2 linked regions of the Arabidopsis thaliana genome follow. The protein of the gene in region 1 purifies or fractionates together with the protein of each later gene. This does not show direct contact. Each region holds a gene or a part of one and is shown on either strand. Other genes may lie near its edges.

Region 1 (16,029 bases):
GTGTGTAATCTCAATCAAACACAACTTTTAAAAACAATAAGAAGAAGTAATATATTCGTCTGTACTTTTGAAAATTGTTAGTTATTTTAGGGTTTTTTTGTGGGATTATAAGCCATCACTACTTGGGAGAATTATCTTAAATGTGTGATTTTTTTTTATTTTAAAATGTAACGCATCTCACGCCTAATAGAGTAATAATCGTTCGTACACGTATCTAAGAATATAGTCTACAATTTACTTTCATTTGAAGATAATCTTGTATTTACACAGAATCAATTTAATTTGTCCAACTTCAATGTATTTGGGAGAAATTAATAGCTCAAATGGATATTCTTCTCCTTATAAATTTTTAAAATGTCCTTTAAAAGTAATTTCCTTATATCTTTTTTTTTTCAAAAAAAAAAAGTCAAAGGAAAATTAAAAAATTTAATAGCTAGTCCAAACAAAGAAATCTATTACAATAAATAAATTATTATAATATTTTATTTTCTTATTCTTCGAGTGATATTATAAACAATAGTCCTCAATTTCTCCTCCCTCTATCAACGTAAACTCCATTTCTCTTGTCTCTCGAGATAGTTCTGTCAGGGTACAGTTTATCACCTCTACCATCCAATATCAATGACGACACAATCATCATCATCATCATCATCATTGCCCTCGTCACTATCATCAACACCACCACTATTAGCATCAAATGCAAGATGCAAAGTTTTAAGGACAGGAGCATCATCTAAAGGAAAAGGAAAAGGGATCAAATATCCGGTCGATCGGATAAGCATGCTTCCGGATGAAATGTTACAAAAGATCCTTTCGACACTATCAACTAAAGATGCCGTGATAACAAGCACCTTGTCGAAAAGATGGGTGGATCAGTGGAAGCGCATACCACATCTCTGCGTGGACATGAGAAATATTATGAGAACAAACCCGACCAGCTATGTTCATGAATTATCTTTCCGCTTTGCTGAATCAATGACGAAGGTTTGTTAATTTCACTTCTTTTTTTCCCAAGCCCTTTCTCTTATAAGGTTTCATTTTAATCCTTTTCTTTCTGAAGATTTTCTACATTTTAAATAGGTCTACCAATAAACTGATGTTTGGATAGATCATTTAGTACTTTTGAAGTTGTGGTAGAAGAAATGTTCTACACAACGTTTGGTGAAAGATATATATGTTATAGTTCATCAACTAAGAGATTTGTGAAATACTTTTCTTATTTCACATAACGGTTTTTCGCGCCAAAAATCTAGCTAACTTATGATCTATCTTGTATTAGATAACGATTTTTCGCGGCATAATTTTCACATTATTAAAAATTACAATCTAGAGATATGAAATTGATTAGTGAATGTATTAGAATTGTATAGTGAATGAAGATCTATACAGAATTTACCTCTTGAGTTTACTCATCATAGAGAAAATATACCCACAAATGTATCAATTGAATCTAATGATATACCTCTCTCTTTCAATTAACAGATTTAACTTATTGATGTTTGAAAGTGAATTAAACATATAAAAGTCATGCATAACTAGCTATACAACGCATCTCAACCTTTCCAAAGCGTTCAACATATATATGTAAACCAATGTAGGATTTATTGACAAAGATTATTGCATGCATATGTTTAAATATTATTGTATAACATATAACAGTTCAATTTGTGTTGTGCAGACTTTAAACAATCATCGTGGTCATCTAGAGAGCTGCACAATCAGCCATATTCAGTTCATTTTTTTGTTCATCGATAGGTGGATCCAAACAGTGACTCGTGAGAAACAAACCAAGGAGATTACTCTTGTCAACAATATAGGTTGCATGACACCTTTTGTTAGATATAATAGTCTTCACTTGTCCCCAAGTGCATTCTGTCATCCTAGCCTCACTTCACTCTCACTTACTCGATATAAGTTACTCGAGAAAGCCTTCAAGAACTGCTGCAATCTTAAGATCCTGAAGCTTTATGACATCATGTCCGATGTTAGTGTCCTTAGCAACGTTATCAAAGCTTGCTCCTCTCTTGAGGTGCTTGTGTTGCAAATCACATTCTTAAACCAAGCAAGTGCGTTGAAGATCGAAAACAAGAAATTAGAATTCTTGCAAGTGACTTGGCCTTGTCTGATGAATAGGATGGAAGTGAATACACCTCGTTTGGTGATTTTTGACATCAAATCTATCTACTGTTTTGGCTACTCAGTTGAAGCCCCTAAATTAAGCATGTTTAAAAGAGATTATTGGGTTGGTGGGATGAGTTACCCTCATCTTAGCTACCATATATCAAGTCTCGCTCAGGTACAAGTACAAGCAACATGCATGCCTTTGGATATAATTTTGAACATAATATTTTGTTTTGACATGGTTTGTTGTATTATGAATTCAGGAGAAAATAAGAATTTGGCTTGAGCTTATGGTGAGCCAAATTTATCATATGAAACGGACTGGATCCTTATCCGTGAGTGTCGATGTGAGAAATCCGAACGAAGTCGAGATTTTGAAGGAAGTCTTACTTTTGTGGGATGGAGAGATGATGGATCTGGAGATCCTCTTCAAGGTACATTTTACTTGATGGTTTTTTTTTTCTATGTGGATAAATAATTTGATCACTCACATGTCATATTTGCATTTTAGAACAACAATGCTCCTATAGAAGAAGGTGAATCTTTTATTACTGGTGGAGCACGTAACAAATGGTGGGATGGTGAAAAACCGTTTCCAGATGATTTCTTCCGCGTTTGTACTGTGTGGATGTATAATTTCGATGGTTCTAATGAAGAGGAATTTGCATTAGCGTCACGTTTTGTGACACAAGGAACAGTGACTGAAAAGTTGATGATAAAGACATCGACGTATCCTCCAGTGAAGCAATTAATGACAGAAGCAAAAGTGGCCAAGCTAATGGAACTTCCTAAAGGTTACGAGTATTTGGACATTGAATGCTTTTGATGATGGTTTTGGTTCGAATCTATCCATTGGTACTCTTTCCTTTATTACTCTGAGGATTATATGGTTTTAAATTTCAACAACTGTGTTTTTTTGGGTATTTGTTCTCTATTTTTAATGTGACATTTGGATATGTATTGGTTTGGATATTATTTGAGGTTTTTGTTTTGGTCAAATGGGATTATGTTATAATTGCATAACAAAACCATATTGGGTAAAAGCTGATTCAAACAAAAGAGTCAAGAGGATTTAGGGTAAATCATGTGTGTTCTACATTTATAATAAGATCATATCTATATATGAACTATTGAAGATGATGAACATATATGTGGCCAACAAAGCTAAATTGTAATCATCCTCTTTTCAAAACCCACAAATTTGATGATGACTTAGCCTTCCATGGGAAGACATCTACACTGCCTAAAGTGAAGCATCCATCTTCATGTTAGTAGATTTCTCCTTGACATGCCACTTGCTCTGTTTTTCTACGTATTGCTGTTTTACATGGGATGATGATGATGATCAAAGTCTTCTTGAGCATCACTGGGAATCAAAGTCGGGTTTCGAAGGGTATTCAAGTCCCTGCAGCTCCGGCATTCGCCTTAGATCTTCTTCTGTGTATCCTGGGATTAACCAGTATCTCTTATCCATTCCAAATACCTAAACACGATGAATCCCCAAAAAAGAAAGCCATAGCAGTGAGGGAGAAGAGAAAGCAACTTAAAAACTTTGAAGTGCTACATTCAGATGGAAGAAGAAACTAAGCCAATGACTTTAACTAGCTAACCTGTTCAAAGTTTTTCTTTTTACCGAGGTCATACCGCCATTTTGTAGTGGTTTTCTTCTCATATGCCTGTTACAACTCAACACCAAGAAAGTTTCATGAGAAAGAGTAAAGAGTCTAAAGACCTAAATTCTCATTTGAGCAAAGGAAAGCTCAAAGCAGCAATGGGATGCACCTCAAAGTGTAAGGAGTTGAAAGATCCAAAAATCTCATTTAAGCAAAAGTTCAAAGCCTTAGCCATGAGATGCACCAAAACTCTAAAGATCCAAATTCTCGTTTATGAAAAAGGAGCTTCTAGCTTTGGCCACGGGAAACTTTATAGGTTCAAGTCAAAAGAAAAAGGAAAAGGAATTACCTCTATAGTTGTGGTATTGCCAGCTACCAAGGAAATATGCATAATTAAGAAACCCATCACGCTCAACGCAAATGCCAAGTTCAAAACTGTTGTACGATGAAACAAGGTGAGAATGATTAATAAATGAAACCAAGTTACACACTACATACCATATATAGTATAAGGAAGTAGGAACATACCAAATGCAAGAAAAGTAGTAGCAAGAGTGCCTGGGGTTCCAGGTATTTCTTCATCACTAAAGAATGCAATGAAGTGCGGCATAAGAACCAAAGTCACAAGGGTCGTCTCTAAAAATGTGTAGAACTGCATATGAACATAAGAAAAACACACACAAGTTATGACAAGAGGACCAGATTACAAGCTGAAGAAGATTCTATAACATTAGTAGTGGTAGAAAACAAACTTACCAAGAAAAGAAGAAAATACTTATAGTTCAGTGCTCCTACACAGTTAACAACCCAAACACAATGGTGATCCATCTTCAACACACACCGACCACCTATATTGGAATCAACCTCACAACAATTCAGTTTCAAGACTCTTAAGTATACATGGTAAGAAAAGAAAAGAGAAACTGAGGAAGCTTACAAACAGAACAATGATGACAACGAGAAGGTTTTAGTTGATTGCACTTCCGACAAAACCGAACTCTTGGGTTTGAAGAAGAAGAATCGGATTGTAAACCAACAAAGTCCAAACTATTTAACGGATCAGATTCACCTCTTTCTTCATCAGTAGATGGTCTCCAATTAGGAGGCACAACACCAGGATCAGTAAAAACCACTGAGAAATAGCTCCACAAAAGCATTGCCAGCTGCACCAAGATAAAAACACATCCTTGTCTAAATTCACAAAACTTCAATCTAAAACAGAACAAGACTTCACATCTAAAGCAATAAAAAAGGACCAAACTTTATTGACAGAATTGAGTAAAGCACAAAGCTTTAGTATTTTGAATTGGGGAAGATGATTGACTTACGAGGAAATGGAAGAGGATTAAGATAGTGAGAGCAGCAAGAGAATCAAGGCCACCTTGAGAGAGTGCAGGACCATAATTAGTCAAAACGACAGCGTAATAAGTAACACCGACAACACCAAGAACCAAAAGGATCATGATCGATCCAAGACCTCGTAAGGCAGTACAGAACTTGAATACGTTCCACGCCATTGTTGTACCAGATCTATGCATAGTCAAAAGCAACGATCGAAAGAAAACCTTTCTGGATCTTCCTTCCGGAGTAAAAGGAAAGACGCGTAGTCAAGGCCAAGGAAGAAATGAAATAAGTGTTTCTGGGGAGATTTCGAAGAGGTCTTAGGGTTTCTTTAAATCTGGAAACAAAATCAAAACAAGGGGTTTAAGGAATAATAATATGAGAGTGCTAAATTGTAAGATGCAGAGACCCCATGAAGGAGGAATGATGCGGAGCTTGAGGAATGAGACTTTTTCTCCTTCTTGGATTCGTTTTCCTCTTTTGGAGCTAACAAGAAATTTCAGACGAAACACTTTTAACTTTAGATTTGTAATTTAATGACTTTTAGTCAATCAATCTTTCAGAAGCCCAAACTCAAACTGTGTAAATAATATGTATTTTTTACTACTAGCGTCAGAAAATGTTACATTTCGGTAATTTCCCCGGTTGATTCAAAGCAACCCAAGCATCTTGCGGTGAACATACTTTACATCTTGAAAATTCCAAATTTTTGTTTTAACCTTGGTTTTGGAAGATTATAATATAATCGGAAAAATTAATTGAGAAATTGATTCATAAGCATTTTTATGCTTCGTGTGGATAAATTAGAATCTCATAATACCAATTACAACAAAATGATGGTGAACATATACAATGAATTTGATATAAAAAAAATTTTCGTTTCATGGTCGAACGGTGAATAGTCGAAGATGATGAATTTTTTATTAATCTTAAAATCATAATAAATAATAAAGTAATGTAAATTTAAATTAAGGTTTAAAATGTTAGCAAAATTATATTAGTGGTTTATAATGTTAGTGGAATTCTTTAGAGGTTTAAAATGTTACCAACTGACATTTTGAAGGTTTTTTTTTTGTAACCCTGGTATGATGATTTTATTTCTCAAAGGACTTGACACTTGACTAGTGAAGGAAAAAACAAAAATGAAAAAAAATAATAACAAATCGCCCACCGTGGGGCTCGAACCCACGACCACAAGGTTAAGAGCCTTGCGCTCTACCAACTGAGCTAGACGGGCTTCTTGAAAATATTTCTACATTACGCTATTAATTAACTTGGTGTACCTATTAACAACATTTTACAGCTATCATAAAAAAAAAAAAATCCTATCATATCAGTTTGGTAGTTATATGTGGGTTTTCTGTTATTGGGCTCCTGAACGAACGAGTAAAACTCCAATGGGCCAATAATAGATTGATAGTAGTAAGCCCTGTAAGAAGTAACAAACTTCTTCTTCTTCTTCTCTTACTCCAAAGAGTAAAGAGAAATCCGAGCTAGTGAAGATGGCTTCCATGGCGTCACCGACCACTTGCTTGTACCACCACAAATGCCGGAGAAAACTTGTTTTCTATGCCCGTCGTATCAGTGCCTCGATTCCAGAGACTTCATATGACAAACATCCGAAGCTAATTGGTCGAAGGTACTAGTCTCTTTCTCTCCTGCTTGTGCTCGTGTTTATCACCGAACCAAGTATCTGATTTTGAGATCTTTGTGAAATTGGAAGAGATATCATTCTTAGGAGCAGTGAATTAGCTATGATCGGAGCCATATTCCAGCTTAGGTATGTTTTCTTCACCGGAATTCTACATCCCCACGGCTGAGGTGTTATTATGATGATGAAATATTTGTGAGTGGTTTTAGTGGGAAAAAACCAGATTATCTAGGAGTACAAAAGAACGAGAGATTGGCTCTATGTCCTGCCACTAATAACTGTATCTCCACTTCTGAGAATATCAGTGATCGAGTGCATTATGCTCCACCATGGTAATTCAAGAGCTTTTTGTGTTCAGATTTGGGTCTTCTGGTTTGAAATGTTTGATCATCAAACACTGTCTTGTTGTCCTGGTGGGCAGGAACTATAATGGAGGAAGGAAAACACCTGTGAACAGGCAAGTTGCAATGAAAGAGCTTCTTAATGTGGTACAATCCTTAAACATGAACTGCAATCTCAAGATATGAATCCAGTCACCATTTGAAGTTCTTGTAATCTTCCAGTAGTTACAGCGGTTTTATCACCATTGTTGCAGATTAAGTCGGTGAAACCGGATAAATTTACACCGCGGATTGTGGAGAAGAAGGATGACTACGTTCATGTGGAATATGAAAGTCCAATCTTGGGGGTAAGTTAAGTAAGCTTTATGTTGCTCTCTCAACCTCCATACCTCAATATATTGGACAAGACCCTTTGGTTTTTGACAGTTAGTAGACGATGTTGAATTCTTGTTCACTCCTGGGAAGAACTCGAAAGTGGAATATCGATCTGCATCCCGTAAAGGGAACTTCGACTTTGATGTCAATAGAAAGCGAATAAAGGTAACAACTCGGATACTCAAGTGATATATCTCTGTTATTGCCACTGGCTAATAGATAATATGCTCACACTTTTCTTCATTTTTTACCTATGGAGGCATTGCGACAAGAGCTAGAGAAGAAGGGATGGGTATCAGAGAACAGCTTCTGAAGAAAAGAGTTTCCAGATTCTATTCTTGTCTATTAAATATCTTAATGTGATCTATGTAAAAACATTGCCATAAATAGTGAGAGAAACATTGATTTAAGACAAGGATTCGAGTGATTCTCATACATAAGGAAACAGTTTTGGAGAAACTTCAAACACGAGTCATGATTTTAACTGTAAAATATCAAACCCAGTAGCATTTCATACGAGTTCTACAACTCAGGAAGCTCGATGTTGAAGTGAAATAACAAACCGATAAGGTTGGCTAAATGCACTAAAGGAGCTTAGTCTTTCCTCAGGTCCATGAGTTCGGTCTTGATACCGTCGGCCTTAAGTATCATAATCTCAAGCTTGTCTCCCTATTACAGTAAACAATCCACAAAGCATTAGTTAGAGAAAAAAACTTGAGGAAGATGAAGTAGTTGTGCAACGTAAGGGATATAGATTAAGTAAATGTTTTGGTAATATTTTGAAGACTTGAACCAAATGCAAATGATATGAGCACAAAGGCAAGCTTTAGGTGGCGTGGTGACAAAAGAAGACACAAATAGGACAACTTACAGTGTAGATATCCCTCTCTGTGGCAGATGCGAAAACAGTTTTAACCAAGTCAACTGCTTCAGCTTCGGAAAGGGGCGTGTTTGAATCCTACATGGTGGCAGAAGACGAACAAATAAGCAACAGAACGATTCATTTTATCTTTACAATGCGAAACGCCAAAAGCACGAATGAAGAATATCAACAAACCTGTTTAGGTAGCAAAAGAGGACTTGGAGACTTGAGCTGATTGTCAAGGAAAGGCATGATGAGTGTGGAACCAGAACCTTGAGCACCGTATCCAACTCTCTCGTATGAGCCAACAGCGTCGTAAGTAAAGACACACCCTTTTCCTGGATATATTCAAGACTAAAGATCACACAAAGTACCCTCTTCTAAAGTCACATCATAACGGAGAAAAAAAGAGGAGCATTTTACCTTCCTCGTCAAGCCCTCCTAGAACATTAAAGGCATAGTAGGGGAAAAACCGCTTGAAATAAAGCGTGTTGGAGAGAAGCTGGGCCATTGCAGGACAGCTCATCTGCTTGTTATGCTGATGTTGATAGATCTGAAGGAAACCAAACACAGAGAAAACACTCTTACACAAGTCTTTCATCATTTTCTAATACTGCGAAGGATGAAAGATAATTGATCAAACGACCAAAGTTTAACTCACCAAGTGTCTGGATTTGAGAACCTTCTGCAAAGCTTTCACATCAGCCTGGAAGCCAGAGGAAGACAAAACAGCTCTGTCCGCTCTGGAAAAGTTAAAAGAAGACAACAGCTTAACAAGAGTCTTACAAGTTACATAAGATGAAAAACACGAGAATTCTATCTATTTCCATACGAATGAATACTTGTGGTATATAAGATCAACAACACAGTAACAAACACTCTTTACGTAAGGTTGAACAAACTCAAAGAACTACACACATTGTCAATAAACGTTATAAGAAAACGAATAAGCTAAGCAATAAACCGGATTATAGAATGATCAATGTAATCACAAAGTTTATATAGAGATAATTGTAACCACTATCAAAAGCCATGTCTAATAATAATTAAGAAACCTATTTTATCTCCACCCATATATAACTGGTTTCACCCAGATCTACGAATTACGATTGCAAAAAAACCCTAATAATCTACAGCAATAATAGTTCGATTGCCAGCATGGAATCACTCTCCCAAAGAATCAACAGTGAGAGAAGAAAGAGAATGGGTACTTACAGTTTATGGATTTTGGAGTAATCGCGACTAAGAATACTGTAACCAGTAGACATCCGAGTATCGGCGGCGATAACACAGTAATCCGATCCAGCGATGGCCACACATGTTCTGAAAAACACACAACGATTAAATTCACAGTAAGTGAATCGTAACACAATCGCCCAGATAGCAAATCAGAATAAAGAAGAAAGACACTAAGCGAAGAAACCCAGCAGGTTGATTAAAGGTCACACGATCCGTACCCTCCATTGTTATCGTAAGGAGACCAGTTCGCGTGCTGTTTAGTCATGGCGGATTTGAGAGAGAAAGCTTTGAGCTAGGGCTTAGAAGAATGAAAAATGGCAGACGAAGCTTTCCGGGTTTGTGTTTTGATGTCAAAGAAACTTCCGAATCGGATCTTATTAGCTCTGGCTTTGTTAACAAGAAAAAGACGGAGACTCAAAACAATACCGTTTTGGACGTGGAAATTACGGGCTGTAATAGGCTTTATAATGGGCCTTATTTGGGCTTTGAATTCCAAAGAAATAATCTTTCTTTTCTTTTCTTCTTCTTCTTCGTCTTCGATTTTCTCTCTCAACGCAAACTCGTAAGCTGCTTCCATTTTCCCTTCTAGACCATTGATTTGTTCTTCGAAAAAACCGTTCTTTCTTTTGCCTCTCACTCTAGTTCCTTCTCTCATTTCTACTTCTCTAGCTTCACTGACTTGCTGCTACCACTAAATCTTGGCATTTGTGGAAAGTTGGGAATTTAGGGTTTTTGGGTGTGTGTGTGAAAACAATGGAAGCACTAGTTGTTGATGCTGGCTCTAAGTTCCTGAAAGCAGGAGCAGCAATTCCTGACCAGTCTCCTGCAATGATAATTCCCTCTCAAATGAAACGAATGGTTGATGATGGGTCTTCTTCAGCTGATAACCCCACCACTGTCTTTGAGGATGTCACTCTTGATCCTATTGAAAGGGGTTTGATTAGAGATTGGGATGCTATGGAAGATCTGTTGCGTTATGTTGTCTACACTGGGCTTGGATGGGAAGAGGGAAACGAAGGCAATATACTTTTTACAGATCCACTTTGTACTCCTAAGGTTCTTATCTCCAAATTTCCTCCTTTGTTCTTAATTTAAAAGATTACAACTTTGAGTCTCTTTTCAATTCCCATAATCCTGTTCTGTTGGATTATGAAAAGGAACAATTTTGTTCTTTTAGTACCTCATTTTAGATAGTAAGACGTTGTTATTTTTAATGTTTCGACCTGATTTGGCTCTGCAAATGTTTGTTTGTGGACAGGCTATTAGGGAGCAATTGGTGCAGTTGATGTTTGAAACATTCAATGTCTCTGGATTTTATGCATCTGAGCAAGCAGTGTTGTCCCTTTATGCTGTTGGACGCATCTCCGGTTGCACTGTTGATATTGGTCATGGGAAGATAGGTATTATAACTTGCTTGGCCTTTGTTACTCTTTGTGTCTTTCACTTTGTCATAAACTCATAATTCCATGTTTTATGTGAGTTATGATGTTACATGAGATGCTGATTCCCTATACTAACCTTTTTCCATGATCTTAAACGTTTTGTTAAACCAATTTTTTTTGGATTCTTCTTGTGTTTATAGCTGGATATGATCAGGATGTTGTTATGTCTGATGTTTTAACTTTGTGGTTGATCCAACTCTTTTCAGATATTGCCCCAGTTCTTGAAGGTGCAGTACAACACATTGCCTCGAAACGGTTTGAGCTAGGTGGAACCGAGCTAACTAAATTATTTGCCCAAGAGCTTGGAAAAACCAACCCGTCGATGAATCTCAGCATGTCTGATGTTGAAAAACTCAAGGAGCAGTATGCAAACTGTGCCGAGGACGAAATTGCTTACAAAAAAACCCAAAACTGTGAAATCGAGCAGCATACTCTTCCTGATGGACAGGTTTGTGTGAAATCAAGATTCTACATTTTGTGTTGTTACCTTATACATATAGATAACAAAACCAATGGCCTTATAGGTGATAAGCATCGGGCGAGAGAGATACTCGGTTGGAGAAGCTCTGTTTCAGCCATCAATACTGGGACTGGAGGAGCATGGAATCGTTGAGCAGCTTGTCCGGATTATCTCCACAGTGTCATCTGAGAACCATAGGCAGCTCTTGGAGAACACTGTACTTTGTGGTGGTACAACCTCCATGACAGGTACTAACAACACTTGATATCATAGTGTGTTTGAATATCTTTTGGGTCGGAAAACTGAAGGGTTTGTTGGAATGGTCGATGGCAGGATTCGAAAGTAGATTCCAGAAAGAAGCAAACTTGTGCTCATCTGCCATTAGGCCAACACTGGTGAAACCGCCAGAATATATGCCGGAGAATTTGGGGATGTATTCGGCTTGGGTTGGAGGAGCCATACTAGCTAAAGTGGTGTTTCCGCAGAATCAGCACGTTACTAAAGCAGATTATGACGAGACTGGACCATCAGTGGTTCACAGGAAATGTTTCTGAAACCATAGACTATAAAACGATGTTGTTGTTGTAGCTGAGGATTTTTTTTTTGGTTGGCTTTGGTTTGAAGATGTGGACCAGATTATGTAGTACATTTCAAATTATGGCTTCCAAATATCGACTAATATGTGTTCAATGAGCCCTTTTCTGAAAACATTGACAAGGTAACTTTGCCAATGCCAACACACACCCATTGTCAGTGGAACTCTAAATGGTTTTGCAGATATGTAACCAGTGAAACTCTTGGTTTTGATGCAGAGAATGGCCAAGATCCTCTTTTTCATTTTGTTTTGAGATCTTTAGTACTTGTACAATCAAATAACACAGTCCCTTTTTGTTTTGTTGGTGTTGTTTGCTGAAATTCGAGAAGGAAAGGGTCAGTGTTAATGTCTAAACAGAATTCAATTTTTTTTATTTTGTAAATTGGTTGCCTCTTTACCTTGTTACTTGTTGTTAGCTTATCTCATCCCTTCTCTCATCTATATAATCGGAAAAGTTTTTAATTAGTGAAATTTAAAATGGAAAGATAATTAGTAGATTTTCTTTGACTTTCTTGATTTTTTTTTCATAATTAAAAAAAAACTATTAATTCTTGAAATTTTGCACGCAACCCGTTAGATTCTAAATTGGTGACGTATATAAACTCAGAAGAAGTAGTAGTACCTTCTTTCACAAGACTCATTTTTTAACGTTCAAGAACAGAAACAAAATTCACTCACTTATAAGGTCTGTGACCACCAGAATAGTAACCATCTGTTGACGTCACAAGTAAAGGAAACCACCCAATCTCACTGTATTAAACGCATCTCTCGAAAATGTTCCCAAACGAATCAATGTTAACCACCTAAAGATACGGTGTTGTTGAAACAACTCTTTTGTTAGTATGTGTTAGTTTAGTACAATAAAACCTTTATAAATTAATAATGTTGGGACAAAGATATTTTATTAATTTAGAGAGATATTAATTTATTAATTTATAAAGAGAATTTTTGGTTTTCAGATTTTTGAAACTTTTCTATATGTAAAAATAAGGAGTTTTGTTATAATTCTATGATTTCAAAATTTCACTTCATAATTTTTTTGATGCGATTTGATGCGATTTGAAAAGACAACCCCAGAAGTTTTTAATGCAGTAAGGAAGATTAGAGATGAACTCCAAAAAAGTTGAAGAATAAGCAAACAACAATATAATCATATTTCACTAAATTTTCTTAAATATATATATATATATATATATATATATATTATAGAATTATTAATTTATGATATTGATGAGACTATATTTTACTTAAGATTTTCAAAAAAAATATTATCTTATTAATTTATCGATTTGTGTTGTTTTTTATAGTAGTTCCAACTCGGACCGGAAGAATTTATTAATTTATAGAGGTTATTAATTTATCGAGTATTAATTTATAGTGTATGTGTGAATAGACACAAAAGGGAAGAAACCAGTTTTCTTTCACTTGTCTCATCAAACGAAGTATCTGACTTGAAATTTCTAGAAAAAGCAGTAAATCGGATACATGGTGTAGCAGCTTTCTAAAGAGAGGAGACCAGTTTTTTCACGGTTTAGCAAAAACCGGCCCTAACCTCTTCAAACGAATACTCAACAATAACGTCTTCCTCATCCATTCTCTTCTCCACAGCAGGAGTGAACGGCGTTGTTGCCTCTGTCATAGCGACTGAAGCTGCAGGAGTTGTTGGAACAGCTCTTTTCTTTTCTTCGTTGGTTTTAGGTGTCAAGATTCTCTCCTTTGTTGTGTAAGCATCCTTGTGATGATCTTCTGGGGAATTCAAGATATTGGAAGTGACAGGTGAAAGAGGCTTCCTAAGCATTGGAGATCTCGCAGCTTTTCCTGCAACCGGAACGTTCTTTGATCTGATACGACCAGGAAGCTCTGAGTTTCTCCTCCCTACACATATTGACATAATTCTCTTAACACAAATCTCTCTCTTGGTCTCTGTTAAGTGTAAACCAAAATCTTGTGTTATTATTATGTACCTGAAAGAGTTGGAAGAGCTGAATCTCTTCTACTAGTAGCGTTCTGGTCATAGTACTTCGTCCTTTTGCTATTGAGTGTTGCCTTCTCATGCTTTAAGCTTTGATGAAGCATGGCACCACCAAGGGAGAGTTTTCTGTTCATGGCAGCATTTACTGGTGTTCTCAGTGGTTTCTTTCCGCTTTTATTTGGGCTTGGTTTAGACCCATAAAGAGCTTCTTGCTCTGTTATGAGTTGTCCATGAAGTTTCTTCATATCCTGAGATGAAAGTAACAATGTCAAATTGCCAATGATGCTTTTGGCTCATAGTGACCTTGGTTCCTAGTAAAAAACAGTTTTCCTTACTCTCTGTCTCTGTTTTTCATGCTCTTTCTCTTCCCATACAGTCTTGTACTGACCAAGCATCGATAAGACTCGGACCTGAAATATTTACGTGCTTTTGTGTAAAGATGCTGATTTGATAATTGTGTAGAACAGATCATTGATCAGTAAAAAACCACTTACCCCATCATATAAGAATTCATTTCCTCTTTCATTCTCCCAAGCAGTGACTTTGGCGGTCAAAGCTTCCACCATCCCTGCATCAATAGCAGCAGAAAGCAATAGACAAAAAAGATCATAAGTTATGAGTTTGTAGGTTTTTGTAATATAATCTAAAGAGCAAGAATGTTACCAGGAAGTTTATTGACAAGTAAACGGGCTTTTTCTGCACGCTTCAATGTAAGATGAGCTCCTCTTCCAGCGTTGTACCGGTTATCATCCTGCGAAGCCAACGATGTGAGAACAAAACAAAAAAAAGATTGAGGCAAAGGAATAGATTTAGATTTAAATGTCTAACCCGATTGTACTCTTCCAGCCAAGACTCTTCTTCACAAGCTGACATCCATTTCTCCACTTTTTCAAGAATCTCCTTCCTGCTTGAAGCTTCCTCTTTGACCTTTGCAATCTCGGAATCAATTTGCTCTAACAACTGCTCAGGATCCTTGACACCTAAAAGATGAGTGGAAACATGTTATTATTAGCATGTTCATGTTATCTACCAGTATAATGAGCATAACATTTCTGGAGTTTGTGCACATCATATTATGTAAAGAATAAGCTGTTCCTAATAATGGTTTACCAGATTCTATAGCTTCAACTGAAAAGTTTTCTGATTTAAGAACTTCGGTGGCCATGTGCATCTTCCTTGATATTTCCTCAAGCTCAAGCCTCTTCCTCAGTATCACCTCTTTGATCTTAGTTATTTTGATCTTGCTAAGCCTAATGACTTCATCCTCAACCTGTAAAACAAACTCACATTATAAAAAAGATTGTTCCTATACTATTATAAACGGATAGACTAAACAATACAGGGAGAAAACACAGAAAGGTTTGGTCCTGTGCACTCACGCGTTTAATGGAAGCAACAGAAAGTATGTTGGCCTCAGTTATTTCAGACTCAGTCAAAGCGATGCTACATGTGACATTGTGAAATATCTTTTGCTCTTCCGCAGGCGTGTCCAGCAGATTCCAGAGCTCCAACAAGGACACTGCAAGATCTTGAACCTAGAAAAACAAAGTGATGAGAGTCAGAAACCATAATCACGCAGAAAAACTTGCACTACATTACAAAGAAGAGCTCAGACTTGTAACCTTCTGCATTCGCTGTAACTTGGCCTCTCGTAAATTCACAATCATCATATCCAACTTATCAAGAGTACTTCTGCTCACATCCCTAGTGTTGGAATCAACCAGAGATGAATGTATCCCTCTTATCATGCCTTTGAAATCTTCACCAAGAACCGAGCACAACGAGTTAAGCGTTTTCAGCAAACACTCTACCTCTTCCAATCTTTTGCTCTACATTTTGAAAAGAATTCAAAGTTAACATAAGGAAAACAGGTGCACATGCTCTTGTAATATAAGTCCCATATCATGAGATCTAACAGCAAAACCAACCTTTTCATTTTGGAGCTCACCCAACTGGCTACGCAATTCCTCCAACCTCTGAAGCGAAAGATCGGTCTCTTCAGCAGCAAACTTCTTCA
Region 2 (9,994 bases), on another chromosome or scaffold:
TTCTCAGGTTCTTGCACCCCACTTCCAAATTCTTGCTTTGCTTTCTCAGTCAAAGTCTTTACTTTTACGATGCTGTCTTCCCTCTTGTCCTTTTTCTTGATACAGCAGCATAATATAATTACGGTGATCAACAACAGCAGAGCAGCCCCTCCAGCTGCAATAGGAATGATAGTGCTTACATGTAGTTTCCTTTTTGAACCTTCTTTGTGAGGAAATGGCGGCAATGGAGGCGTGGAAATGTGTGGGGTTAGCGAAGGAGGGGGAGAGGAGGTGGCACAGGGTTGCAGAGGAAGTCCACATAACAATGTGTTTCCGGAAAAAGATGAACTGGGAAAGCCACCAAGTGCAGAGGGTATTGAACCATTAAGATGATTGTTGCTCAAGTTTAAACGTCTCAGACTTACTGTATCAAGATTAGGTACTGGTCCAGAAAGTTTGTTATTTTGGAGGCTCAACCCTGTCAATTGCTTCAGATTTTGGAACGTTGCTGGTATCTTCCCGGTGAAAGAGTTAAATGAGAGATCTAAGATATTGAGCTGTCGGGACACAAAGGAAGGAACCTCACCAGAGAAGTTGTTATGTTGGAGATAGATGTAATCTAGTGAAGGGAGAGAGTGAATGTCAGGAGGAAGGTTACCACTGAGGAGGTTTGATCTCAAACTGAGAATCCTGAGTGATTCTAGTTTACCAAGTGTGTTTGGAGGGATTGGTCCCAAGAGCCCAATTCCTGGAAGGCGAAGAGCGTGAACACTAGTACCATCAGAAGTGCAGGTGACGCCAACCCATGATTTGCAGATATGGTTAGTGGAATTCCAGTTGAGTCGTCTGAGATGAGGAACAGAAGCAGCAAATGCAAGAAGAGCTTGCCTATCCGAGTTCAGGTCGGCAATAGCATAAGAGCAGAAAGTAGTTGTGACAAACAAGAAAGAGACAAGACAAGTAGACAAGAACCCCTTTGACGGTCTCAAGGTAAATACTGGACCAACATAAAACTGGAAATGGAACTGCATCATCAGCTTGACTTCTTGACCCTGCTCCAAAAGAAAAGCAGAAGATGATAAGCAATGACTTCCACTACACAAGCCAGTATGCAGCAGCAAGGAAAGCTAAGCTAATCAGGTATCTCTAAGGAACTGGCCAAGCAAGCTTCATTTATTGGATCACAACATTGAAAGTTGATAACTAATATTCGGTTGTGAAAGAAAAAAGCATATCAGTTATATAAAAAACTACAGATGGGAAGAAAAAACAAATAAAGATACTAGTTAGATCTTCAAGAAAAAGTATGCCATTGCCTATCTTTATCTTTATCATTGGGAGATTAAACAATCCAAGAGGCTAAGATAAGAGATTGAAGCATCCAGCACAAAAAAAAAAGCAAAAGGAATAAAGCTAAAGAGCCAAACTTTAACACAAAACTTTGATGAGCAAAGAAAAGCAGACTCCTTTTGCCAAAAGATATTGTCACTAGAGAAAGAAGCAGAGGTCTGTCCATCATGTGGACAATGTCACTAAGTAAATAAAGATGAGTTTTGAGTGTCTGATTTTTATCGGAGTTGTTGAACAAACAACGTGTAGCCAGCGAATTGGAACTAATATACCACGTCACTAGCCTGTATCTAAAGTCTTGAAAGTTTCCTACCCACCTAGCCGGAGAAAATGGCGATTTTTAAGTATAATTCCCAACAATGAGAGACAGACAATTACAGAAAGTTAAAAGGAAAAATACAAAAACCAAAAAGAAGAAGAAGAGAGAAAGAGAACCTGGGAGTAGAGAGGTAAGCTAGCGAAGTAAGAAAATTGTGGGCACTGAAGAACTCAGCAATAGAGGAAGAAGAACTTATGCAGATGGAGCGCTCAGACCTCTGCACTCTACTGCATTGAGCGGACTATAACACAATCTTGAAATGGTGAAAGAGAAGAAAGAAGAAAAGGCAATGTATGTGGGGACTAGTGGAGAAGAAGAAGAAGAAGAAGAAGAAGAAGAAGAAGAAGAAGAAGAAAGAGAGAGAGAGTGTGGTGAAGTTAAACAAAAGAGGCGTATTCGTTAAGGGTAAGACAGTCTTCAAAAGGAGTCTTTAGATCAAATCATATTGGTGTGTAAACACCGCAACAAACGCTAATGTAGAGAGACCCAGAGACTGACCAAGCTTAAGATTCTTATGAGATAGCAAAATGACAAATACATGAAAACAAAAACCATCTTGATCCAAGTTGTTATTTTTAAAGTAATCATTTAGATATGGTAATAGTTCTTACCTGTCCAACCACTCTTGCTACTGTTTTCTCTTGATTTGCATCATTCTTGATTTGCGGATACTATGTAATAGTAATACTGGTCATTTCATCATCTATCACCAACTCCAAAACAAGATCCAACACATTTAGGCATTATTGAAGTCTGAAGTTTTCTATGAACATTGAGCAGTGCAGCGTGCTCCTAATATCATCACTATTTTTGTTGTCTTTTTAATCAGAGGAGACATAATTATTACCATGCTCTGGCAATTCTAAGGACACCATCCCCAGTTTTTCTTATACATTAAACTGTAAAAAGCTGATAGACTAAAAACAAATGTGAACTCGAGTTACAGAAATTAGGAGATGCAACTTAGTTCTTAATTTAACTGCAAATTTGATTCCATGTCCTTAATAATTCTCAAAACACACTGGAATTTTAACAACAGCCATAATCTGGTTCCACTTCTGCTTTCTCTTCACTTGTAAAACTCAAAGTCCGTGTCTGGCTTCTTAACATTTGCGCGGTAGCCCTTCTCGAAATCCTTAGGTAGTATCACATATCTGTTCTTTCGCACCGCATGCATACCAGCTTCCTGGCAAATTGCTGCTATCTGCATTGTTCAACATAAAATCAAAATAGTGTCATTAATAACTATCATCATTACATGCAATCTTTTTAGGAACAATTCCCATGTACATGATAAAATCAAACCATATTACTGCCAACAATTGATTTCTCAACAATTCAGTTCAGGACAATGATTAACAAACGACTCAGCTAACATTCATACATAATGCTTGAAACAGTATGATTATGCTCAAGTGCATATTTTGAAGAACATCATTAGGTGGTGACCCAGAAACACTGGAGGATATATCATGGTAAAAGTAAACTATAGCGGGAAGAATAGAATGGTAAGCAAAATAAACTAACCTCAGCAGCGCTAATTTTATCAGGCCGTGAAACATAGTCTTCCAAGTCAACCTCATCGCTAAGGTTCATTTTGGAGGTGCATACCTACACAAGGAAAAACCAATCAATAAGACAGAAACTAAGATATCAGTCAAAACTTTCTTTTGAGAAAACATTTGGTTTCATATCTCTTTAACTAGTTATTTAAGTGCTTGTAGTAATTAACTTACCTGGAAAACAAGCCTCTTTTGACGTCTATCAGGAAGGGGGAACTCAATCTTACGATCAAGTCTTCCAGGACGTAAGAGAGCAGGATCTAGAGTGTCTGCCCTGTTTGTTGCCATTATGACCTTGACATTCACGGTCTGGTCAAATCCATCCATCTACATCGAATTCAACACAATAAGTTAAGGACACAACTAAAATCCATTATTCTACAACATAAGATCTGAATTACAACTAAAATTCATTATTTGTTCTCACCTGATTAAGAAGCTCCATGAGAATACGCTGAACTTCCCTATCGGCTCCTGTTTGAGCATCAAACCTAGCAGTAGCGATGGCATCTACCTCATCAATGAAGATGATAGCTGGAGCATTTTCCTTGGCAAGACGGAAGACATCACGAACCATACGAGGTCCCTGCAATTAAAAAACCAGTTAGTCACCAAATAGAATCGCTCAATAGGACCTAAACCTTCAATAAAGCTATGATTTTTAATACCTCGCCGAGATACTTTTGCACAAACTCGGATCCAACAACCCTAATGAAGGCAGCAGTTGTGTGATTGGCAACAGCCTTAGCCAACATAGTCTTTCCAGTACCAGGAGGTCCATAGAGCAAGACTCCACGAGGTGGGTCAATACCAATCTGTTTGTAAAGCTCGTGGTGGGTAAGAGGCAATTCAACAGCCTCACGAATTTCCTGTTTCTGAATATCGCATCCTCCAATATCCTACACAAAAAGATAAAGCACCACATAAGAAACCAAAGATCGTTTCAAAAACCCTAACTTTAATTCAGAAAACAGAGTCGAGATTTGGAAAAAAGGAAACATTACATTGTAGGAGACGTCAGGCTTCTCAGATTGGCTGAGAAGGGAGATGCTAGAATCAGCCTCCGGAGGCAAAACATCAACAAGGGCGTTGGAGTGACGGTGAAGAGCGACGGAAGCAGAAGGCTTTAAGAGTTCTCTATTGATTGTGCTGAGAATTCTGACATAGTAATTGGAGCCAGTAGTAGATCCGACGATGCCGTTGTTCTGATCTACCATCTCCATGAACTGACCTATCACCAAAGGCACGGATTGAATTCGTTTGACCTCTTCTTGTGCTCGTAACAGCTCTCGTTTGAGATTCTTTTGCTCGTCTTTCACATATTCTTCTTGGATATCGGTGAACTCTAGTTGTCGTTCAAGCGATTTGAGGCGGCCATAGAGATCTTCTTCGTCTGCGGTGGATAGATCCATCAAGGCCGGTGATGCTTTAGGGTCAAGAACCATCGATGCAACAGCCGCGGAAGCCATTCTTTGAGAGATCTTTGAGGGTGGGGGAAGAGAAAAGTGAGATTGCTATGAAATTAAATAGACTTTTGCGAACCGAGATATCTTTGGAGTAGAGGAAAAGAAATGTTAATTTGTGAGCCGACTCATCTAAATAAAAGGAAAATAGATTAAATGGGCCTTTTGTCATAGTAAGGCCCAGTTTTGATATTTAATAGCCCGTTTACTCTCTCCATTTTAATTTGTTTATTTTGTGACGGAGTTGGTCTAAATGGTATCATCAGAAGTATATAGCTCATCATCGCCTAGTAACCAAAACTGAGAGGAAACAATTTAAATTTCCGAACCAAAGCCGCTCATCAGAGTTTCAGTTCTACTTTCAAATTGAAAAAAACAAAGTTTACCTTGGGTTGATAAACTTACAAATATGCCATTAGTATTAGTAGTATTAGCAGCCCACTCAAAAACCAAAAAAATATATGGGGCATGTAGACAAAAGAAAGCTCTCTTATGCTTTCCTCTTCCTTAGTAACCTTACGGATGATCTCTTAGTGGCTCTTGAGCTGTGTTCCTCATCACCTGATTCTTCAACATCCTTATCTTCTTCTTCTTCTTCTTCTTCACTTGGCGTCGTTGCTCTGCCTCTCTTTCTGGCGCTTGTAAGATTAGCGTTCTCATTTCCTTTAAACACATAGATCTGCACCAAGCAAACATTTTATAATCAACATGTGAGAATGTCAACTAACTCCAACCACATGACTCTTGTTCAAGACACATACATACCTTGAACTTCTTTGGTTCAACCAATTCAAAGAGTAGAGCATCACCATCATCCAATTTATGATCAAGAGCAAACCTTTTCCAACCACCACTGAGTCCAGCTCTTCTACCAATGTACACTGCTTCATACACTTCGCCTTCTTCATCCTCTAGTTCTATTTCCATAGTTTCCTCAGGAAAATTGTCTGCACAGAATCTTGAAGGAAGCCCCTTGAAATTTGCAAGCAAACCCATGTAGGTCAAGTAAGGTACTAACACGAAATCCTTGAAGAAGAAACACACACAAGTGTTGTGAACGAACGTACCAGCCAAAAGCAACTGTAAACATGGGAGCGAACCATAGATTTCACAAAGTAAGGATGTGGAGATTTAAGGCTCCTCTGGAACTTCTCTGCAGCCTTGAATGCTCCAACCTTTTCTTCATAAGATGCAAACTTGCACTCATGGAGAGGTCGAGAAATGTAGCTGATGAATTTTAACTAATTGATCAGATGAAAGGATAGTTTTTTAGGGCAAAATTGTGGAGCAGGGCACTTACGTCGCCCATGTAGAGCTATGTCGCGATCTCCTCAGATTCGAAGTACGACCAGTGTCTACGACGACCTGAAAAGAGACAAGGGATTGGGTTGATTGATTGCTGTGAAAAATCTATTACAGAAGTAAGAGAAAGCTGGGAAAATTACATCATCGCGATAGGAAGAAATTACGGTACGAACACGGGAAGAGCGTCTTGGTTCAGCAGTAGCTAAGAGGGCTTTATCGATGGGTTTGTGATTACGCTGCTGAAGAAGCTGAAATTGTGGTAAAGCTACAAAATTGGACTAGGAATGAAGCAGAAATGGAAGGAAAAAACACGAAACCTGAGGCGTTTTCTTTGTAATCTGAGTCAGAGTCTTAGAAATCTGGGAAATTCCTAAATCCTGAGATTCAATAATCAAAATTGATAAACGAATCAGAGAAGGAGGAGAAGAAGAAACGCGGTAACGATGAAGGGTAACTTGAAATCGCTTGTGATTCTCTTGAAGACGGAGCTTGCGAGCTTCCTCATAGGCCATGGCCATTGCAGAGTTTCCTAGGAGGAGAAAGAAATGGCGCTTCGTTTGAATTTCGAAATCACGGACTTCTTCTTGTTAATTAATTAATAACTAGTTGGGCCTATTTGGGCTTTAACTAATAAAATTGATCATTTTTTTATCGTAAGTTTACTTGCTCAACAAAAACTCGTGTTAAAATTATATCATTCACCACTATTTATTATTCCCTTTGTTTTGTGTTCTTTGGGACTCTATTAACTATATAAGCTCCATAGAAAATCAATGAGATAAATATAAATTTTACACATTTGGCTCTGAGGTTCACTATTCCAATTTGATAGCTGCATCAAGCATATCCACGCTGCTGTTTTGTTGTGTCCATAGCTGCGCATATCTCCCTGATTTTCCCAATAGCTCGTCGTGGGGGCCTTGTTCCACCACCTTCCCGTTTTCCAGTACTACGATCTGCCCGCAACCAAAAGTTTCAGTTATGCAAAAACATTGTTTCTTTGAGCTAAGTTGACAAACACTATTTACTACAAACCTCGTCACATTGCATCGCAGTGGTCAGCCTGTGGGCAATGAAGATAGATGTCCTGTTACTCGCTAGTGCCTTGAGTGCGTTCAGTATCTCTGCCTCTGTTGTGCTGTCCAGCGCACTCGTTGCCTCATCACACAACCTGTGTACACCAACCATCTCTATGTATGTGAGGACTAGACACGTACATAATCACATAAGTAAACTCAATGCTGCTTCTGTGCAAAGTTACTTACAGAATCGCAGGGGATTTCAAAAATGTCCGAGCAAGTGCCACTCTTTGTTTCTCTCCACCACTCAACTGCACACAACACCACTCCATGGTTATCACAATACAAAAACCCCATCAATATATGACTCTACTCAAACTCAGGATGGTCACTCATCAATGCTACTCTTTGCCATTATATAGAAAACCTCAATCAGTTAAATCTTTTATTTTTCATGATTGTTACAGTCCTGCGAAACTAGTTTATTAGATCATATTCTTCATCAAGTTTTCAACAGGTGAACTTTGACTTGGAAGCCTGATTGACTTAGCTTGTTTTACTTTGATTATGACAATGACAAAAACGACGGGTGACTAACTCCCCATAACTCAATCATGCATTCCAGATATAACATCAAAATACTGACCTTGAGCCCCCTTTCCCCAACGATCGTGGAATATTTATCAGGGAAATTACTGATTGTTTCATGAATTGCAGCACGCCGAGCAGCCTCATACACCTGGATTGAAAATTTATGTTAGATGAGGATTATTGATATTAAACTTGACATTTCCACCAAGTATAAGTTGACTGGTACCTCTTCTTCTGTAGCTGAGAGACGTCCATAATGTATGTTGTGAAATATTGTGTCATTGAAGAGAACCTGCAGTGCAGTAGAGATTACCCTTGAGAACAACAAAACTTGGAGTGCTATACCTTCACAAAAGCTAACAATGATACATATGAAAAATAAAAGAGAAGAAAAGTGAAAAAAAACATAAAAAAAATCAAGTGTCTAGCATGACCAGAGAAGTTACAATGAGAAGAAAGGCGAGAAACAAATGAATGCAGGTCATAGTGGTGTATATAACAAAAAGCCTCACGATGAGAAGTAGAGAAATGCCAACTTACAGTATCTTGCGGCACAACTCCTATGGAGCTTCGGAGGCTATCTAGTCTCACTTCCTTTATATCTTGCCCGTCAATCCTTATCTGTTAACCAACATGACAAAAAAGATGTTATCTAGATACCAAGCATTTTCTTCACTAAATTTCTCTGCAGCAGGGTGTACTTTCGTTGCTACAATGCTTCCAAACAAGACCCCACATTTCACAAACAAAAAAAATGCTTACATTTCCGGAATCTGTGTCGAAGAATCTGAATAGCATCCTAAGAATTGTTGACTTGCCTGCCATAGAACAAATAATAAGATTTGCAACAGTATACCAGAATAACAAATTTACACAGAACTTAGATGCTTAAACAGAAGAGGTTTAGGAATTACCGCTCCCGCTAGTACCAACGATTGCCACACTTTTTCCTGCCGGTACGACAAAGGAAATTCCATCTAATATTTTTCTCTCTGGAAGGTAACTGTAATTGTAGAAAAAGAGAAAGATGATGTGGCAATAGACATAAGTTATTAACCCCCTTCGTCTTCAGCCACAACATGAAGCTGATATCCAAATCATGCAATGTCTTATAATTTGCCACTTTGATAAGCTCAACAAAGCTAATTAGTAAAGACTTTCTGGGGTGTATTGAGTTCATAAGTTAAATAAAATTTGAGTTAATTACTCATATTAATCTTAACACACTTTCATACCCAAGATACTATGGCTCCAACGATTAGTATGACAGTAATGTTCCACTAAAATCAACACCTACCTGAAGTGTACATTTTCAAACTCAATGTTTCCACCTTTCAGTACAAGAGGCTTTGCGTCACTTGTATTTGTGATGTCAGATTTCTCCTGAAACAGTAAGAGAATACCACATAATCAATTCAACATGCCAGGAGTGCATACTAAAAAGCATGCATTTAAAGCATTATCATAAAAAAAAAAGTGTTTAAGAAACTTAACCAAATGCAGAGTTTAAAGAAACAATTATAACATCCTCACATACCTCTAGCAACTGGAACATTGATTTCATGTCCACAAGGCTCTGAATTGTTTCACGGTAAACACTACCCAAAAAATTTAGAGGAAGAGACAGCTGAAAGAGAAGTCCATTCACCATAACCTGCATCACCCAAATATGCAAAAGCTTATTAGAAAACAATTTGGATAAAAAATGCAGAGAAACATAAAATACCAATGTCAAGGAAAAATCAAAGGACGCACTGACCAAATCACCGACTGTCATCTGGCCATTCATGATACCCTGAGAGCACAACACCATTGCTGTTGATAAAGCTGTACTAAATATGATACTTTGTCCAAAGTTTAAGAAAGCAAGACTTCTTTGAGTTTGCAGGGCAGCATCTTCATATTCTGGGATAAGCAGCAGAATCGTCACAAGATAAATTAAGGTAAATGGACGGAGCAATAATATATTATGGTAAAATATCAATCGGTTTTCTTCCTAGAAAAAGAACGTGTAAATAAAGATGTAAAAAGAGTCATCAGCGCATTTTCTGATCTACATTTGTTACTTGTTGGCTTGTTGCTACTATTCTTGCTCAAACTAAAACTGGAGAATTTTCTCTTTTTTTTTGGAAATTAAGATAAATGTTTTCATCTAAACAGCTAGTAGAGTTACTTACTTTTCAGGAACTGGTCATACTTTTCAGCCTCATAACCTTCATTGTTAAAATATTTGACAGTCTGAAACGAAAAAGAAATTCTGTCAAAACTGCAAGTCAAGCAAAATGATTAAGATTAAAAATTTACCTCATAATTTATCAGAGAATCAATGGCCCTTGTGCTAGCATCATTATCAGCTTTGTTCATAGCCTTTCTAAACTTGGTTCGCCACTGGATAAAATAAATAAA

The links.
Region 2: the proteins of PBF1 (region 1) and RPT3 purify together in Arabidopsis thaliana (affinity purification with western blotting; 2 studies listed by BioGRID, with this or other methods). This does not show direct contact.

What each region holds. Positions count from the first base shown.
Region 1 is NC_003074.8:22,464,002-22,480,030, forward strand, and holds PBF1 (N-terminal nucleophile aminohydrolases (Ntn hydrolases) superfamily protein), read right to left. Parts: upstream 9,939-16,029; 5' UTR 9,809-9,938; coding exon 9,762-9,808; intron 9,628-9,761; coding exon 9,520-9,627; intron 9,048-9,519; coding exon 8,966-9,047; intron 8,858-8,965; coding exon 8,728-8,857; intron 8,643-8,727; coding exon 8,500-8,642; intron 8,401-8,499; coding exon 8,314-8,400; coding exon of another isoform or gene 8,310-8,313; intron 8,112-8,309; coding exon 8,037-8,111; 3' UTR 7,768-8,036; downstream 1-7,767. Other genes in the region: AT3G60790 (F-box family protein), read left to right, coding at 622-984, 1,679-2,296, 2,385-2,555, 2,633-2,947; AT3G60800 (DHHC-type zinc finger family protein), read right to left, coding at 3,485-3,604, 3,732-3,797, 4,084-4,169, 4,263-4,386, 4,491-4,582, 4,672-4,897, 5,063-5,272; AT3G60810 (DUF1499 family protein), read left to right, coding at 6,578-6,714, 6,799-6,855, 6,936-7,058, 7,148-7,214, 7,322-7,414, 7,494-7,607, 7,702-7,755; ARP7 (actin-related protein 7), read left to right, coding at 10,297-10,599, 10,802-10,943, 11,192-11,433, 11,510-11,693, 11,779-11,999; MAP65-4 (microtubule-associated protein 65-4), read right to left, coding at 13,572-13,915, 14,005-14,260, 14,348-14,422, 14,507-14,580, 14,676-14,763, 14,841-14,992, 15,123-15,282, 15,392-15,547 and 2 more. UniProt on the Arabidopsis thaliana protein: Non-catalytic component of the proteasome, a multicatalytic proteinase complex which is characterized by its ability to cleave peptides with Arg, Phe, Tyr, Leu, and Glu adjacent to the leaving group at neutral or slightly basic pH.
Region 2 is NC_003076.8:23,563,840-23,573,833, reverse strand, and holds RPT3 (regulatory particle triple-A ATPase 3), read right to left. Parts: upstream 4,783-9,994; 5' UTR 4,680-4,782; coding exon 4,215-4,679; intron 4,110-4,214; coding exon 3,879-4,109; intron 3,797-3,878; coding exon 3,638-3,796; intron 3,538-3,637; coding exon 3,385-3,537; intron 3,260-3,384; coding exon 3,176-3,259; intron 2,853-3,175; coding exon 2,718-2,852; 3' UTR 1,980-2,717; downstream 1-1,979. Other genes in the region: AT5G58300 (Leucine-rich repeat protein kinase family protein), read right to left, coding at 1-1,013; AT5G58280 (AP2/B3-like transcriptional factor family protein), read right to left, coding at 5,164-5,352, 5,439-5,645, 5,741-5,900, 5,974-6,038, 6,119-6,217, 6,296-6,496; ABCB25 (ABC transporter of the mitochondrion 3), read right to left, coding at 6,794-6,934, 7,014-7,149, 7,244-7,308, 7,644-7,736, 7,815-7,880, 8,129-8,209, 8,351-8,406, 8,503-8,591 and 5 more. UniProt on the Arabidopsis thaliana protein: The 26S proteasome is involved in the ATP-dependent degradation of ubiquitinated proteins. The regulatory (or ATPase) complex confers ATP dependency and substrate specificity to the 26S complex.